Linked DNA regions of Tamandua tetradactyla. The protein of the gene in region 1 purifies or fractionates together with the protein of each later gene. This does not show direct contact. Links are inferred from orthologs where the notes say so. Each region holds a gene or a part of one and is shown in the gene's direction. Other genes may lie near its edges.

Region 1 (6,864 bases):
ACTTTATTTTTTAACATGTAGTACCCGCACATGGTAGGCCTTACAAATACGTTTAAAAAAATAACACCTTCTGTAAGTGGTTAATTCTTCTATGAACATGTCTGTGCCCCGCCCCTCCAACTAGGCTATAAGCTCTATTTTTCTCTGCACTTCGTGTGGGCCCAGCCAAGGTGGAAACAGTAGACATTTGATGAATGCATACTGAATTAAATAGGTATGCAGTAATACTTGTTGAATGAATAAACTAAACTTCTAAAATAAATACTAAAGTGGGTGTGCCAACTCAAAAAGAGGAGGTAATGGTGACATTTCTGCTTTACTTAGTACAAGTGACCCCAAAAAAACAATTTAATCCAGTTTATGCTTGCATAGTGAGTCATGTAACCAATTCACAGGAAGGGCAAGGGTACAGTAGGATATCAGGAACAATTTGAACCCAGATTCAATTTCTGCCAAGGCTCTTCAGCTGTCTTCTCTGTCTCTCTCTGCCTTTAAGCATCATTCTTTCCTACTGCTGGATGTCTTCTTTCACATGACAGGGCACACGGCCATAACTTCACTTCTCGCAGTGCTCACTTTTGGAGGGCTCCAACCAAGCCTTGCTCTCTCTTTGGTATTAAGTTAAAAAATTTCAGGAAAAAAATTGTTCTTGGTTAGGGTCAGGCAAAGTGTGATCTCTAATAAAATAGCAATTCCCATGTTATCAGATTAGAAAGAGCAACTAAAGAACTGGGTAGGGGTGTGGGGAGGGTGGTTGCCGTTCTGGCCAGACAGAACAACAGACACCCACAATAGGGAGTAATGTCATTTGCATTCAGGGAAGGTGGGCCATGGGACTTAGCAGAAATGGCCCAGCAGTATCTTGAGCCCTGCTCTGGGGAGGCTCTGAATCTGGCTGAGGACAGCTGGCTAAGTTAAAGAAGCAGAGTACCTGTTAAGTCAAGAGGACTTTGACAGCACTAAGAGACAAGTAGGGCTGCTGGTGGGCTGCGGAGTGCCCAGCCAGAAGCAAGCCAGCAATGAACTTCTGATGCCAGAGGCAGTGCCTTCCCTCTGGGGAGACAGCTCTACTTTCCCACAGTTAGTGCTTATATTATATTTACGGATAGGTTTATTTTTACCCATTCCAGACCTCAAGCCCCAAACCTACTGCTGGAAGAAACAGGCACTGAGGCTTCTGGGTTTCCAAAAAGCACAGGCTTCAGTGTCTGGCCCAGTGCCAGAGACCCAGCTGCGGTTAGTCCTGTAGTCATCTAGACCGACCCACCTCTCACATCGCTCTCTCCTGTCTACAAGGGAGGTAGGGATGGAGGTGAAGGAAATTGTCCTTTGCCCATCCCACAATCACCCCGCCAGTGAAAGGTTAGCACTGGGCTCTGAGAGGAGGGCCCTGACAGTTACGGTAGAAGTCATATCCTGGCCTGCCCATGAACTGTGGCCGGCAGGAGGGGGAAACACGTCAAAGCCCTCTTGCAACAGCTTCTCCCCTGCAGGGCTGGTTCCCTAGAACCAAGGGACAAAGGAGAGGATTTTGTCTTTCAAATCAGCAGCTAGGAACTGGCATAAGTTTTTAGCCCCCATATGCCAGGCAGCCAAAATAGACTTCTCCTTTAGTGGGACCACACATCTGGCCTAAATTGTTATTCCTCCAAGACAATTTATCGAACAGTTAGGCACTGTATTCATGCACAGCCACTGCAGACAAGCTTAAAATATACGTTAAGACATTAGAGCCATTTCAGAGACTGGCTTTCTCATGATAAAGATGCAACTGACATTCATCAGGTACTAAAATGTCAAGTTGTTGCAATCCAGTAGGAAGCCCAACAAGCCATTAAATTTGAAGTTCTGTTCGACTGATTCCTTTCCGTTCATTCCAATGCTTCCCCAACAGCTGATTTTGACTTCTGAAGCTGACATTTTGGTAGAACCTAACAAAATCTCACAGGGCCCCCTGTCTTTCTGAGCCATCATTAAAATGGGGAGAACTCCTAAGGCCAGAGACCAAGCTCTTGAAATGCCCGAGGGATTGGACCAAAGAATTTGAGAGAGGAGTGGTGCAAATGAGAACAAACCTTTCATGTCCCCCAAGTTTCTGGGTGAGGACTTCAAACCCCCTAAGGAGGATTACTTGGAGAATAATTCATGGATGAATCCCATCCCCTCCACCCCTACCTTCCTTCATCAGGACTGGGCTGGGGAAGAGAGACAAGCCCAGGCAGGAGCTTATTTTAGTTCTGCTTCCCAAGGTATTGATTCAGGCAATCTCAAGTACCACATTAGGGAGCTCAGGTCTGAGCTTGGCACAACCAGGCTAAAAAAATTAGTTTTTTTTTTTTTTCTTTTTTCTTTTTGGTCTGTTTAACTTGCCTTAGCTCAGAAATAGGATGTGGACGAGTTATTGAGAAATAGTAGGATAGAAGATAAAGAGAGGAAAGAAAGGCCTCAAATGTTAGGTAATCAGGAAGGCTGCTAATGGGCATAGGGTATCCAGACCACTGGATGGTATTCACAGCTCTTTTTCTCCATGTGCAAAATGAACCCTCCAGAAGGTTCTGTGTTCTGGGGAAGCAAAGGAGGACAGGTGTGGTGGTGGTGTTGGGTTAGGATCAGAGAGGCCTTTTCCCAAACCCCTGTTAAGAAGGTTGGGAAATTGTGGTTGGTCACCTTCTTCACAGCAGAATTGGCAGCTATAAGCTATGTCATGTATGCTTAACTGCCTCCCATAAGCACATAAATAGGATTGCATGTGTGTGCCGTGGTGGGTGTGGGAATATATCAGTCAATGAAGATGCATTGTGTGAACCAGTTGATGGTGCGTGTTTATACTTGAAAGCTGTAAGGTTCTATGCAAAATCTATGGGTGGCACTGTTGCACAATGCTGGTGGGTGTGTGGCTGCGGGGGTGTGATTAACAGTTTATTGGCTGTGTAGAAGTGTGCATGGACAACTGCAAATTAAAGCGTGTATGCATGTGCATGGAGTGTGTGCAAATTAAAAGGGAAATGTATGCCAGACTATGATACAAGTGCTAGAAAACACTTGGGCTTTGGAGTCAACCTGACTTGGCCTTGAATCCTGGCTCTATCATTAACCAGAAGCATAACCTTGGAAAAATCACAGGATCTTCAGTTGCCTTGCCTATGAAATGAGGATAATAGTAAGTACCTTTCAAGATTGCCTTGAGAATTAGGAATAATACCTTGAATGCAAAGTTTCTGGGGTCAGAGCTGTCAAGTAGCAGGATTCAAGAATAGGTAGCTATCATGTACTGTGTATGCACCTCTGGTAGGTGCAGAGGCAGTTGGGAGGAAAATGTGCCCCAGAAATGTGTGTGTGAAATCTGGGTGAGGAAGTGCATACTAAAAGTTGGGTGTACAAAACTGTATTATGTTTGCATGTATCCAAACATTCCTTCTCCTTTCCCATTGAGCCCCATATCCAGACAGGGGCAGTAGGGTGGGAGCGGATGGTACAAGTCTCTGTAGGCCCCTTGGGTTTCGGAGTTTCTGGGTCCTGGGTCTAACCAAGTAAGAGGTTGAGAAGCTGGTAGGAGCAGCAGGAAGCCAAACGTCTGCAGATGCTTCCTTTTTTTTCCCTCCACCCAGCAACGGTTGAATAGCCACCCACATTCTCTCCGCTTCCCCCCCCCCCCCCACCTCCGCTTTCCTTTCAACAAGTGAGAGCAAGGGTGGGAGGAAACTCGAGGGAGGAGAGGATTCCTTCCCTTTCTTTCCCCATTCCCCCTTAAGACAAACCAGGAAGCAGCTGCAGCTCAGAACCAGGCCACCTTAACAGTAGAGTAATGGTCTGGCCTCTCGCCAAGTCCCACCTCTGTTCCAGCCTCTGCTCCTCCCCCTTCTCCTCCCTCGCTGCTCCCGGAGAGCTGGTGAGCAAGAGTCTGGACGGAGTTGGCAGGAGCTGTTGCCATGACACGCATTTTCTTAAGAAAGCTCTGCTGTTGAGACCATCCAAAGCTGGGTGGTGGTGGTGGTGGTGGGGCCCGAACTTCCTGGGGAACCATCCGTCCAAGGAGGGCAAGAGCAGACACCCGCCCAGCTCCCCAGCACCCGTTTTCTTCCAGGAATCTGAGAGGTCCTTCCCCTAGGCAGGGCCGGGGGAGGAGACCCAGCCCACTACCCGGCCCCGGTAGGGAAGGCGAGAAAGCAAAGCCAGCATCTCTAGGCTGGTTGCCAATTTGGGGAGGCCGGTGGGTGGTCACCTCCATCGTACCCCCGTCCATGGAAACCTGGAGGGAGAGTCTCGCTTGGAGAAACCTGGATCGTTGCTAGAAAGAGAGGTAGGCTTGCAGAGAATGAATTGACTGGTGACTTGTAAACTTTGTTTCTTTCCTCTCAATCTTTTAAAAAACTCCCTGAATTTCCTCTCCATAGTGTATTTTATGTGATTGGATTTGGAGATCTTGGAGTATTTGTGTAATGTGTTTGTGTGTGTGCACAGATTTGCTAAATATTTGTTTCCTAGACTTGGTTTGGGGAATCTATATAATCAAACAAGTGATTTTCTTTTTCTAGTTTTTGTCATTCCTGGACTGTGGGGGTAGGGAAATGGAGGGAACGTCTTTTCATACCCAAATTGAGCTCTTGGAAAAAGCATTTATTTTCTCCATCCATTCTTGCCTCCCCCCTCCCCCCTTGGCTTGGGAATGAGACGCAGAATGGAAAACTGTTGCAAAAATATTTTCCATGTCTGTTCCCTGTTCCCTTTCTCGAAAGCCCCAAAGAGAGATGGAAAAAAAAAAATGCAGAAGATTTTCAGCAGAAGGAGGAGCTGCAGTGGGGACCTGGAAAGGGGCATACTGGTGGGGGTGGGTGGGTGGGAGGTGGGGGCTAGGAGAAGTTGGGGTGGGGGGAGATAGAAAATGCACAAATTAAATTTGTTTGACTTTGCAGAGAAACCTCAGCAGTTTCTCTCTGCCTCTTGCAAAACATCCTTAGACTTCAAGTCTATAATTAGCTATGGAAAAAGCTGGGAGTTCCCTCGTACTGCTGTTGTTTGACTGTGTGTGAGCATCAGGAACCAACTGTGTGAGTGTCTCAGAAGGGCACCACCCCAAACAACTCAGTTCCCAAAGGGGAGAGAGGAGAAAGGGCTGAAGTTGTAAAGTTTGCTGTTTTAAGGCTGCTGATTGTGGGGCTGGTGAGTGTTGGGGGGTTGGGGGTTGGCAACAGGCGTCCTTGGGAGGGTCCCTGGAGCGTCATGGGCCGCTGCGTTTGTCTTGTTAAGGAACTAGAAATTAAGGCTGGGATTCTCCTTCCTGCTGTCCCTTCACACACACACACACTCACACACACTCACATACTTGGCTTGGGGTATGGGGGTCACTGGCATCCTCCCTGGGGTGAATCCAGTCCCATGCACTCCTCCTGCTGAGGAACCCCCGCTCCCCTCCAGCTGGGTATGGAGGGCACAGGAGGGGCTGCGGCCATCCTGGGAGTGGAGCGGGCACTCTGCTGGCCATAGGCGCCTCCCTCCTGGGCATTCCTGATAGGACTTACAATAACTTGCAGACATGATGCCAGCGCCTGCTGGCCTGGTCCGGGGAATGCCAGATGAAGAAATTAGGCGGGCACTCAACTGATGCTGGTGGGGGTGGGTGGTGGGTGGGAGGGGGGTGGTAAAATCCCATTCCACAGTGCCATCTCCAACCTAGGGTGGGGTGCCTGGCAGGGAGTCTTAAGATCCATTCCTCCGTCCCTCCGTGAGCCCCTCCTCGGAGCTGCCCTGTTCATGCCCTTCCTCATCTCTAGGCCCTGTTCTTGGAAGGAAGGGAAGATGTCAGGGGCATTCCAGGCTGGGACGGGCAGGGGAGGGAGGCCTGGGAGGAGGGAGGGCCCGGGTGGGGAGGCCTTAGGAGGAGGAAAGCTGGAGGGGCGGGGTAGCTTGGACCGATCGAGAGCCGGCTTACCCTTCCTGGCTGAAGGTGGTGGCATCACGCAGCTGACTCTGGCGGGCTGGTGGCATGGTGGCAGCAGGGTAAAAGGGTGCTTTGCGGGGTGGGTCCTGGAACTGAAGCAGACGAGTATGTAAGAGGCAGGCTGAGGGGAAGAGAGGAGGAAACACCTGCCCTTGCCCCAGTCGGAGAAACTGGGGAAGAAAGAAGCAAAGATTTTGAGGAAAGCTTAAATGGGGGACAGGAGAGCAGCAGGAACCAGTTTTCATTTGGAGGTGTTGGATGATTGATCGGACTGCACCCCGGGGCCAGATGATCTACGCTGCCTTCATTCTGATCAAAAGATGAGTGAGGCCTTCCTTGGGGAGAGGGTAGGCGGGGAAATCCATTCTTTGCTCCTCCTAGGGAGCCCCGTCCAACCTGCCACCATCTTGCAAAGGTACAACCCTGAAATCATGCTGTTACACCCCCACTTCTCACCCCCCCCCCCCCCCGCCCGTGTGCGCCCATCTTGGGGATCCAGAATCGCACCAGTCTGCAGCCTGAAAACAATACTCTGACTTGGGAGGTTGGATTCTGGTAGGTTAGTGGGACTTCTGCCAGAACCCAGCCCTGTGGAACAGGTCCTGAGTTAGTGCCCTGGGTGGGGGGGCTGCAGTGGAATTTGTGCTCCGCAGCCCCAGCCCTTTTCACCAGTGACTCCAAGCAGGATCAATACTGCAGCAAAACTGCGTCCCCTCCCCTCTCTGCCTCCCGCCCCCGCGTCAGCCTCTCCCGCAGCTGGGCGCCACACTCCCTGGCTCTGCCTTCATCTAACATACTCTGTTGGAGAAGGTGCTGAGAGCTGCAGAGCTAAAGTGTCTTGCTTCTCAGGTGGCTCAGAGCCCACTCAGTCACTTCCATTCCCATTTGCCACCTCTGTCCTCGGATTCAAGGTCAAGTAGGAAGAA
Region 2 (7,651 bases), on another chromosome or scaffold:
TCCAGAAGGATCCCTTTTGCCCCTTTCCAGTCAATTTTCTCCCCATTGATTTGATTTCCATCACTAAAGATTAGTTTTGCCTATTCTAGAACTTTATATAAATAGATTCATACTTTATATACTCTTTTTTCTGCCTCACTTCTTCTGCTCAGCGTTCTGGTGGAGATTCATCCATGTCGTTGCATTTATAAGTAGTTCATCTTTTTAAATTACCAAGTAGCATTCCATTGTATAAATATATCACAGTTTTTCCATTCACCTGTTAATGGATATTTGCATTGTTTTCTGTTTTGACTATTATGAATAAAGCAGTAAGAGCATTCTTGTACAAATCATTGAGTGAACATATGTTTTCATTTCTCTTGGGCACTGGGGATACAAGGGTAGAATTCCTGGGTCATTGGTTAGATGTATATTCAACTATAAGAAACTGACAAACAGTTCTTCAGAGTAGCTTTATCATTTTTATACACCTGTCAGCAGTATATCAGAGTTCCAGTCACTTCACATTATCACCAACATTTGGTATTGTCATTCTTTTTAATTTTATCAAATTAAATGCCTGTGGGTGAAATGATATCTCATTGTGATTTTAATTTGTATTTTAAAGAGGGATGATTTAATTCTGACATCTGAAGGATGAGAAGACCAGGTGAAGACGATAGGATGTTAAGCATTCTGGACAAAGAGAAGAGAATGTGCAAAGAAGGTAAGAAGTAATGGAGCAATCACAACAGACTGAAAAGGAGAGTCATCCACATTAAGGTTGGTGAGGGAATCAGTGAGAAGCACCAAACCATTCACCTTTGTGTGGATCTGGGCAATGGAAACACCAGTAGTAACCATTGTGAACTGAGGAGAGAGCCAGACCAAAATCATAATCATAATCATAATTATAAATAATAACAATATCCTGGGCTACATAGCCCCCAGGAGATTTAATTATCCTAGGAAGTGGGGAGGGAGGCTCATAATCATCAAAATTGAATTTCTTGTCATCTTAGTCAAAAGGAGCTCAAAATAGATTAAATCTGAGTTAGAGAAATAAAAGCAATGAGGCATTTCTTACATGCTTACCACATAAGAAAGTAAGAGTGCTGGGCAGTGTTGAGTAACCATCTGAGGTTTGAGATCATGAATTTAAAATTATAAGCCATTCAGCCTGCTTGTATGATTTTTTTCCGGCAACATTTAGCTGCTCAGGTGCAGGCATGCATTCTTTTTTCAGACTGTAGTCTCAGCCAGGTTGTGGTTTATTCAGGAAAGGACGGCAGAGATTGAGGTGGGAAAGGAAATGATTGTAACGATGAATCATGCACTATAAGACCAGGAGGGAAACAGAAAAACAGATAATGAGAAATTGATGGGATTAATGGATTGAAGATTTCAATGAGGTTGGAAATTTCAGCCGATGGGGTCCTGATGCAAGGACCTGAAAGAACAGGAAGTGGAAGATGGAGAGTGAGGTATTATATTTTCACATTTCAAGGACAGAAAGTTTTTTTTTTTGTTTGTTTTTTGTTTTTTGGTGATTCAAATGTTGAAGGGTGCAACCTTGTAAGTGGTGGCTCAGTTGAGGAGAAGGTTATTGGAAATGAGAAGGCCAAGGGATTGAGAGTCCAGAATACTGAATAGGTCATCAACATGGATGTTGAATTCATGTGTTGAGTTCAAGGATGGTGCTAAGGAGTTGGGAGAGGCAGGGAAACAATTATAGTGGCTGGGAAGCCAGAAGATGACAAAAATCAAGATGGTTTGGATGGTATATCTGAAGGACAAGAGCTTCAAAGAAGCAGGAATCTTTGCAGGAGACAGGGGGAAACATCAGGAAGTTCAAGGCCAACTCTACTGACACTATTATCATTTTGACTGATGTCCTTCCAATGGCTTGATGAACCACATCAAACCAACCTTGAATACTTTCCACTGGGAATGCGCTATTAAAGACCTTCCCACCAGGGGGCAGTATCACTGCTGGAAACCAGACCTCTAAGCAGTCCCAAGAGGCCAGGAAAGTGGGTGAGGCCTGAGCACTGAGGACCCCTAGGGCTTCTCTGAGGTATTACAAAGAGTTCAGCCATCTAGCATGGCTGCACTTAACTTGTAGAGAAATTTTTAAATGTATGTAATTTTTAAAAATCCAAATTCCTTTAAAGAAATTATTGAATTACTGCAAGATTTTAGTCAATCATGTATTTTCTCAACAAAAGGGAACTAAAAGTACAGCTGCTATTATGTGAGATATATTTCCATGGGTAAAACATAAAGTCTTCCTGTAACTGCAAGTTTCAGGGTTGACTGATGACACCTGGCTTAAAAATATTCCTTCTAAATCTATTTTTAGAAGAAGACTGAGCTAGTTGTATGAATACAGGGCTGGAGTTAGAACTACAACAGCAGCAGCAATAATATAGTATTTATCATCATCATCATCATCATCATCATCATCAATAACAACATTTGAACAATTACTATGCACCAGAAACTGTTCCAAACATTGTATATAAACTTACTCATTTATTCCATTTTTAATCCTATGACGTAGGTACTATTATTAGCCCATTCGATAGATGAGTAAATTAGGTCCAGAGGTATTGGGTTATTTGCTCAAGATCACAAAGCATTGGTGGCATTGGCTTGACTGCTATCTTTCCTCTAACCAGAATTGTTCAGGTTATGAAATAAGAACAAACACCCCTAAATCTTAGTAGCTTATCATGACACATGCTACCTGCTCAGCATGAGCTGGTACGGGGGCTCAGCTCATTATGCTAACTCAGAGACCCAGGCTGACATAAACTTCATTTTTTTTTTTTTTGACAGAAGCTTCATTTTGATACATACTTTCACCATCATGACCATTGATTACCAAGCAGTCAAAAGAGCATGCTGCAGCGACTGCACTGGAAATGAAATACTCCTGCTTATAAGGGTCACTTCTCACATTTCACTGATTGAAGCAAGTCACATGCCACTCCCAACTTTAAGGCGGCAGAGAAATACAATCCTACCATGAGCTTAGAAGGAGGAACCAGACAATTTGGCATTAATGATTACCACAAACACTCTGAGATTCTGAGCAGACCATGTCCTCTCTCAACTCCAATGTTCTTACCGACAAATTAAGCATAATTATCACTGCTTTGCTTATCCCTACACTTGTTGTAAGGATCAAATAAGGATGTTTCTATGGTTATTATGAAGCAGAATGGTTGCATCCAACCAAAACTTCTGTCAGATGAAAATCTTGGTCCCACCGAGGCAGCCCTGAAACCCCTCTTACTGGGGTATCTGTAGCACACCTTTGTCCAGACAGAAATACATGCCAACTTTTTTTGCCATTGAGTGTTTTGAAGAATATATAGTTTTCACTTCAATCAACAACACATCATTGTAGTTTCCGGCTCTTGCTACAAAGCTGCCACTGCCAGCTGTCCAGTTCCTGTTGAAAGCTGAGACCACTTTTGCCTGAGAGAGACTGCATGGGTGGGGTGAGCACTCCTTCCTCCAGGTTCTCCAAGCTCTTTCACAGAATCAAGTCAGATCACTAGGGCTGCTTACTTGGCTCCTCATAGTCTTCACTCCTTAGACACTCCCTAGTATGCCTGCTGAGTCAGGGATGAGCTACGCCACAGAAACTCCCTTGCCAACTAAGGGTTGACAGCGCTGAGGGTAGAACAAGAAATAACCACATGAAGAACATTTTCCAAACTATGGAGCAAAGAGTAGTGACTGCATTGGCAATCAACTTCCAGAATGCTTTGCTGGCTCCTTTCCAATGGGTCGTTTTGCTGAATACTGCTGTCATTTCCCCTTCCCGCACTCCTTTGATAGACTAGGCTGTGAACTGAGGGCAGGGACCATCTTTTCATTTGCGTTCCACCCAATAAACGTCCTTTGCATTAAAATGCTTCTGAAGATCCTTTACATAAGTTGATGTATGATAACTTCCTTGTAGAATTTAGTGTCTAAGGACGTGCAATTAGGCGAGTTGAACTGTCAAGGCGTCGGACCCTGAGATTATTTAAAGCTAAAATAAGGCCAAAATGGAGGAGCAAAGGGGAGGAGCAGAAAATGAGGACGTTTCAGGCAGAAGATGTGAAGGCAGTTAGTACAAGGTAATAACAGGCACAGGGAGTGCATCACTCTGCCTGAAGGGGAAAAATATGAGATGAGAAAGGGAGGTTGGGGCCAGATGCTCGTAGGGGCCTGTGGCCAGAAATAGTAAGGGACAATGAGAGGAAGGCATAAAAGAGGCGGCGGTGTATCAAATTTTGCAGCCAAGTGCTCTAACAAAAGGAAGGCAGGATGTGTGGAGGAAATATATCATGTTCCCAAAGCTTTGTTTTATTTATGTGCGATCCCGTTTCACAGAGGGGTAAACTGAACGCAAACTTATCCGCTCCCCGGTGTCAATGAGAGCCGGCGCCACCAGCCTCCCCCCATCACGTGGCCAGAAGCACCTTTGACACGTGACTTACCTCAGGCTAGGCCAATCAGCCTCTGCAGAGGCGGGGACGCGATGTCCCAGTGTTAGTCTAGGCCGTCTCATCTCGCGAGCCTTGGCGCCGTCGCTCTACATCCGCCCACGGCCCGGCACGAAGGTCTCGCGAGGCTTGGGCGCTGCGGCGGTAGGAGGAGGACGGGGAAGGACGGAGCCCAGCCACCTCTGCCTCCCTCGCTCACTCTCTCGCGCACTCGCCCGCCCCCTCCCTCCCTCCCCTCCCCTCCCCGGCCCAGGCTCCGGCCCGGACCCATTCGCTCTTTGGTCTTCTGCTAGGGAGGATGTCGGGCTCTTCGCCCTCCAGTGCCCTGGCCCTCTCGCTGTTGCTGGTGTCTGGCTCCCTCCTCCCAGGGCCAGGCGCCGCTCAGAATGGTGAGCTGGGCGCCGGGGGCGGGCCGGGCGGGGGCTGATGGGCGCCGGCGGCCGGAGAGGAGCCGATCCGGGATCCGCGAAAGTGCTGGAACGAGGGCAAGGGGGTGGAGTGGGGGGCGGTCGGAGCCTTAGGGACTGCGGGTCGGAGAAGAGGAGATGACGGTCGGGGTGTTGAAGAGGCACGGGTGTGTGGACAGGAGGCTCCTGTCCGAGAGGAGGGGGCGGCCGATGTGAGCCTAGTTGCTGACTTAGAGGCTCTCCGTCGTGGGGCTCCGCGTTCTGGGTCGGGAAAAGGACCCGGAAGAAGCCTGTGAGGAGCCGGAGTAGTGGGGGCGAATGAGGATGGGGCACAGCTTCTAAAGAAGGCTTCAGAATATAGGCGTTTGTATTTTAGGTGACGAAGGATGGGGTGGGCTCTCGGTCCGGCTCGCCTAGGGATCTACTGGGGCTCCGCTCCGTAAGACTGGTGACATCTTAAAAATAAAGGAGGAATTAGGGGAAGGGAGTTCTGAAGAATACCGGTGGGGAGCAGAGTACTTGAGCCCTAAGGAGGGAGTAGAGATTCGGGGACCTTGGATGTGGGGGCGGAGGGAAAGTGGGTGGAAAGCTAAGGGAATGGGTTGACTGCAGTAGGGAACCTGGAAAGAGCAGCCGTGGTTCTAAACGAGATGGGTGGGGGAGGGCTGGGTTTGCTAAGGAGGGTGGAGTGCTGGGCATTCTAGGGTAGTGGTTGGGAGAGCAAAAAGGGGTTTCTAAATAAGGAGAGGAAAAATGAGCAGAGGATGGGGAGAAAGGGTTGAAACTGAAGAAGGGGGGAATATTTATTAGAGAGCTAGGGGTGCCTGGTTACAGAAATGGGGCGGGGGAGAGAAAAAAAAAATAGGGGAAGGGAGTAAAATCCAGGAAGCTGGGGGTGTAATGTTAAGTTTGCAGGGTGGAGAATAACATTAGGGAAGGGAGGAGTTGGGTTGTGGCAACTGCTGTGTGATATTGGTTGGGCCCTTGGGAAGGCAGGGCCTCATAGCTGCAACTGCAGTAGTGGGATTGAAAGCAGTAACTGGAAGGGAGCTGGAGGAAGTGGGTTTTTAAGATCTACAAGGTTCAGGACAGAAGATATTATTTCTGAGGAACATGAAAGTAGTCCCTGAGATGTTTGTAGGATACGGTGGAAACAAGAGGATTGGTTTTGAAGTCTGAAGCCTCTTGGAGAAGATGGAGAAATGGTGGCGAATCATGATGGTGGGGGATGTAGACAAAACAGATTCTGCTTGAAGGCGTGTGTTAAAATTCAGCTGCGGAGTTAATCTTTCAGAGATGGGACAGAAGCATCAGGAACTTGTTTCTGCTCTTGTGGAAACAGTTTTTAAACTAAGATGTTATGAAAATATTTTTTTGCGAAAGAATGTATTAGAAGTCAATACTGCAGAGTGAACCATACATTTTTGCTAATCCTTCAATGTTTATTGTTTGCTAGAACAATTTAAAGTTACTATGTTAGAATAGCTGAAATTTAAATGACATTTTCTTTAAAAAGTCAGTGATAGAGCTTTTGGAGTTGAGTATTCTAAGAAGAAATTGGGCTTAAAGTGCTGGATTACGATGAAAATAAATCAATAAGGGATTGGAAAGGCATCTTTTGGTTAAATATAGATTTATTTACCGAACTCTACCGAATTGTACCAAATAGAACTCAGCAAATCTTATGTATGCTTCATGGCCTTGGATTATCACTGCAGGGGTCAGGAAGGAAACATTTTTCTGTCTGTTGCATTGCATATGCTAAGTATATTGGATAGTTTTCCTGATTTCCTCCATAGAGTTAGTCTGATTTGTCCTGTCAGTTTTAGTCTGTGTTAACAATATAACTTAAAGAAACCTAAAACTAATTTTACCTATTTGATTTGTGGAATGGCATGCTTTCATTTTGCACAATAGGTGTGAGTTCTTATCGTAACGTGTTAATCTCTGTGTTGGCATGGTCTTTTTCAAAGATTTGTAATACGGGGAAATTGTAGTTTCTTAGCAACAAAAGCAAGGTTTTTGGATGGGCCTACAAAGACTTTTTTGGCTGTTCTCAGTGATATGTGTTCTAAATAAAGTACAGTAACAGCCTTTTCCCTGATATGAACTTGAATTCAATCACGTGATGAAGTGAAGCTGCGCTGGTAGTTGACCCAAATGAATGTCAGTTAATTCGAGAAAGAAATGGCAACTTTTTGAGTTTAAGTTCATGTAGGTAAGAATACTGTTTTATAGCTTTCTTTTATAAGAGTCAAGCTTTCAGCTGATAATGGTCCTGCATTTTCTTATAGTGCTTCAGAAATGGATACCATGCTCTGTTTGTCACTGAAATGTTAGAAATGTTAGATTATCTATTTAAAGTGATCATTTGAAAAATAATTTAAGTGTTTCTGGATTGGGTATGTAGTAGTTTAGATTGAATATAGATTTCTTTCAAAAGGCCTTTGTTTCAGTATTCCTAAAATGAAGAATTTGGACTAGATGGCTTTCGAGATCCTTTCTAGCTCCCAAGTTCTGAGTCTGTGACCCATTACAATAAGGATTCAGAACTGTCCTTTGGATAGATTTGTTTCTCATCCAAAATTTAGACTTGAGACCACAGTTTCAAGTAAAGTCCTTATTGAAGGTGTTGATTTTTGTATGTATCAACAAAAATGTACTTCATTTTAAAGGAAGAAACCTGTCCTAAAAAATAACCTTCCTGACAAGATCGTCACATATTTTAGACTAAAACTGAATGTGCGTAAACCAAGA

What was found.
Region 2: the proteins of ATP2B4 (region 1) and NPTN purify together in Homo sapiens (co-immunoprecipitation; 3 studies listed by BioGRID and IntAct, with this or other methods). This does not show direct contact. The link is inferred for Tamandua tetradactyla from reciprocal best matches to the Homo sapiens genes ATP2B4 and NPTN.

What each region holds. Positions count from the first base shown.
Region 1 is NC_135330.1:60,979,708-60,986,571, forward strand, and holds the start of ATP2B4 (plasma membrane calcium-transporting ATPase 4), read left to right. Parts: upstream 1-3,864; 5' UTR 3,865-4,300; intron 4,301-4,884; exon of another isoform or gene 4,885-5,160; intron 5,161-5,929; exon of another isoform or gene 5,930-6,030; intron 6,031-6,864. UniProt on the Homo sapiens protein: Calcium/calmodulin-regulated and magnesium-dependent enzyme that catalyzes the hydrolysis of ATP coupled with the transport of calcium out of the cell. By regulating sperm cell calcium homeostasis, may play a role in sperm motility.
Region 2 is NC_135338.1:68,391,056-68,398,706, forward strand, and holds the start of NPTN (neuroplastin), read left to right. Parts: upstream 1-4,638; 5' UTR 4,639-4,785; coding exon 4,786-4,876; intron 4,877-7,651. UniProt on the Homo sapiens protein: Probable homophilic and heterophilic cell adhesion molecule involved in long term potentiation at hippocampal excitatory synapses through activation of p38MAPK. May also regulate neurite outgrowth by activating the FGFR1 signaling pathway.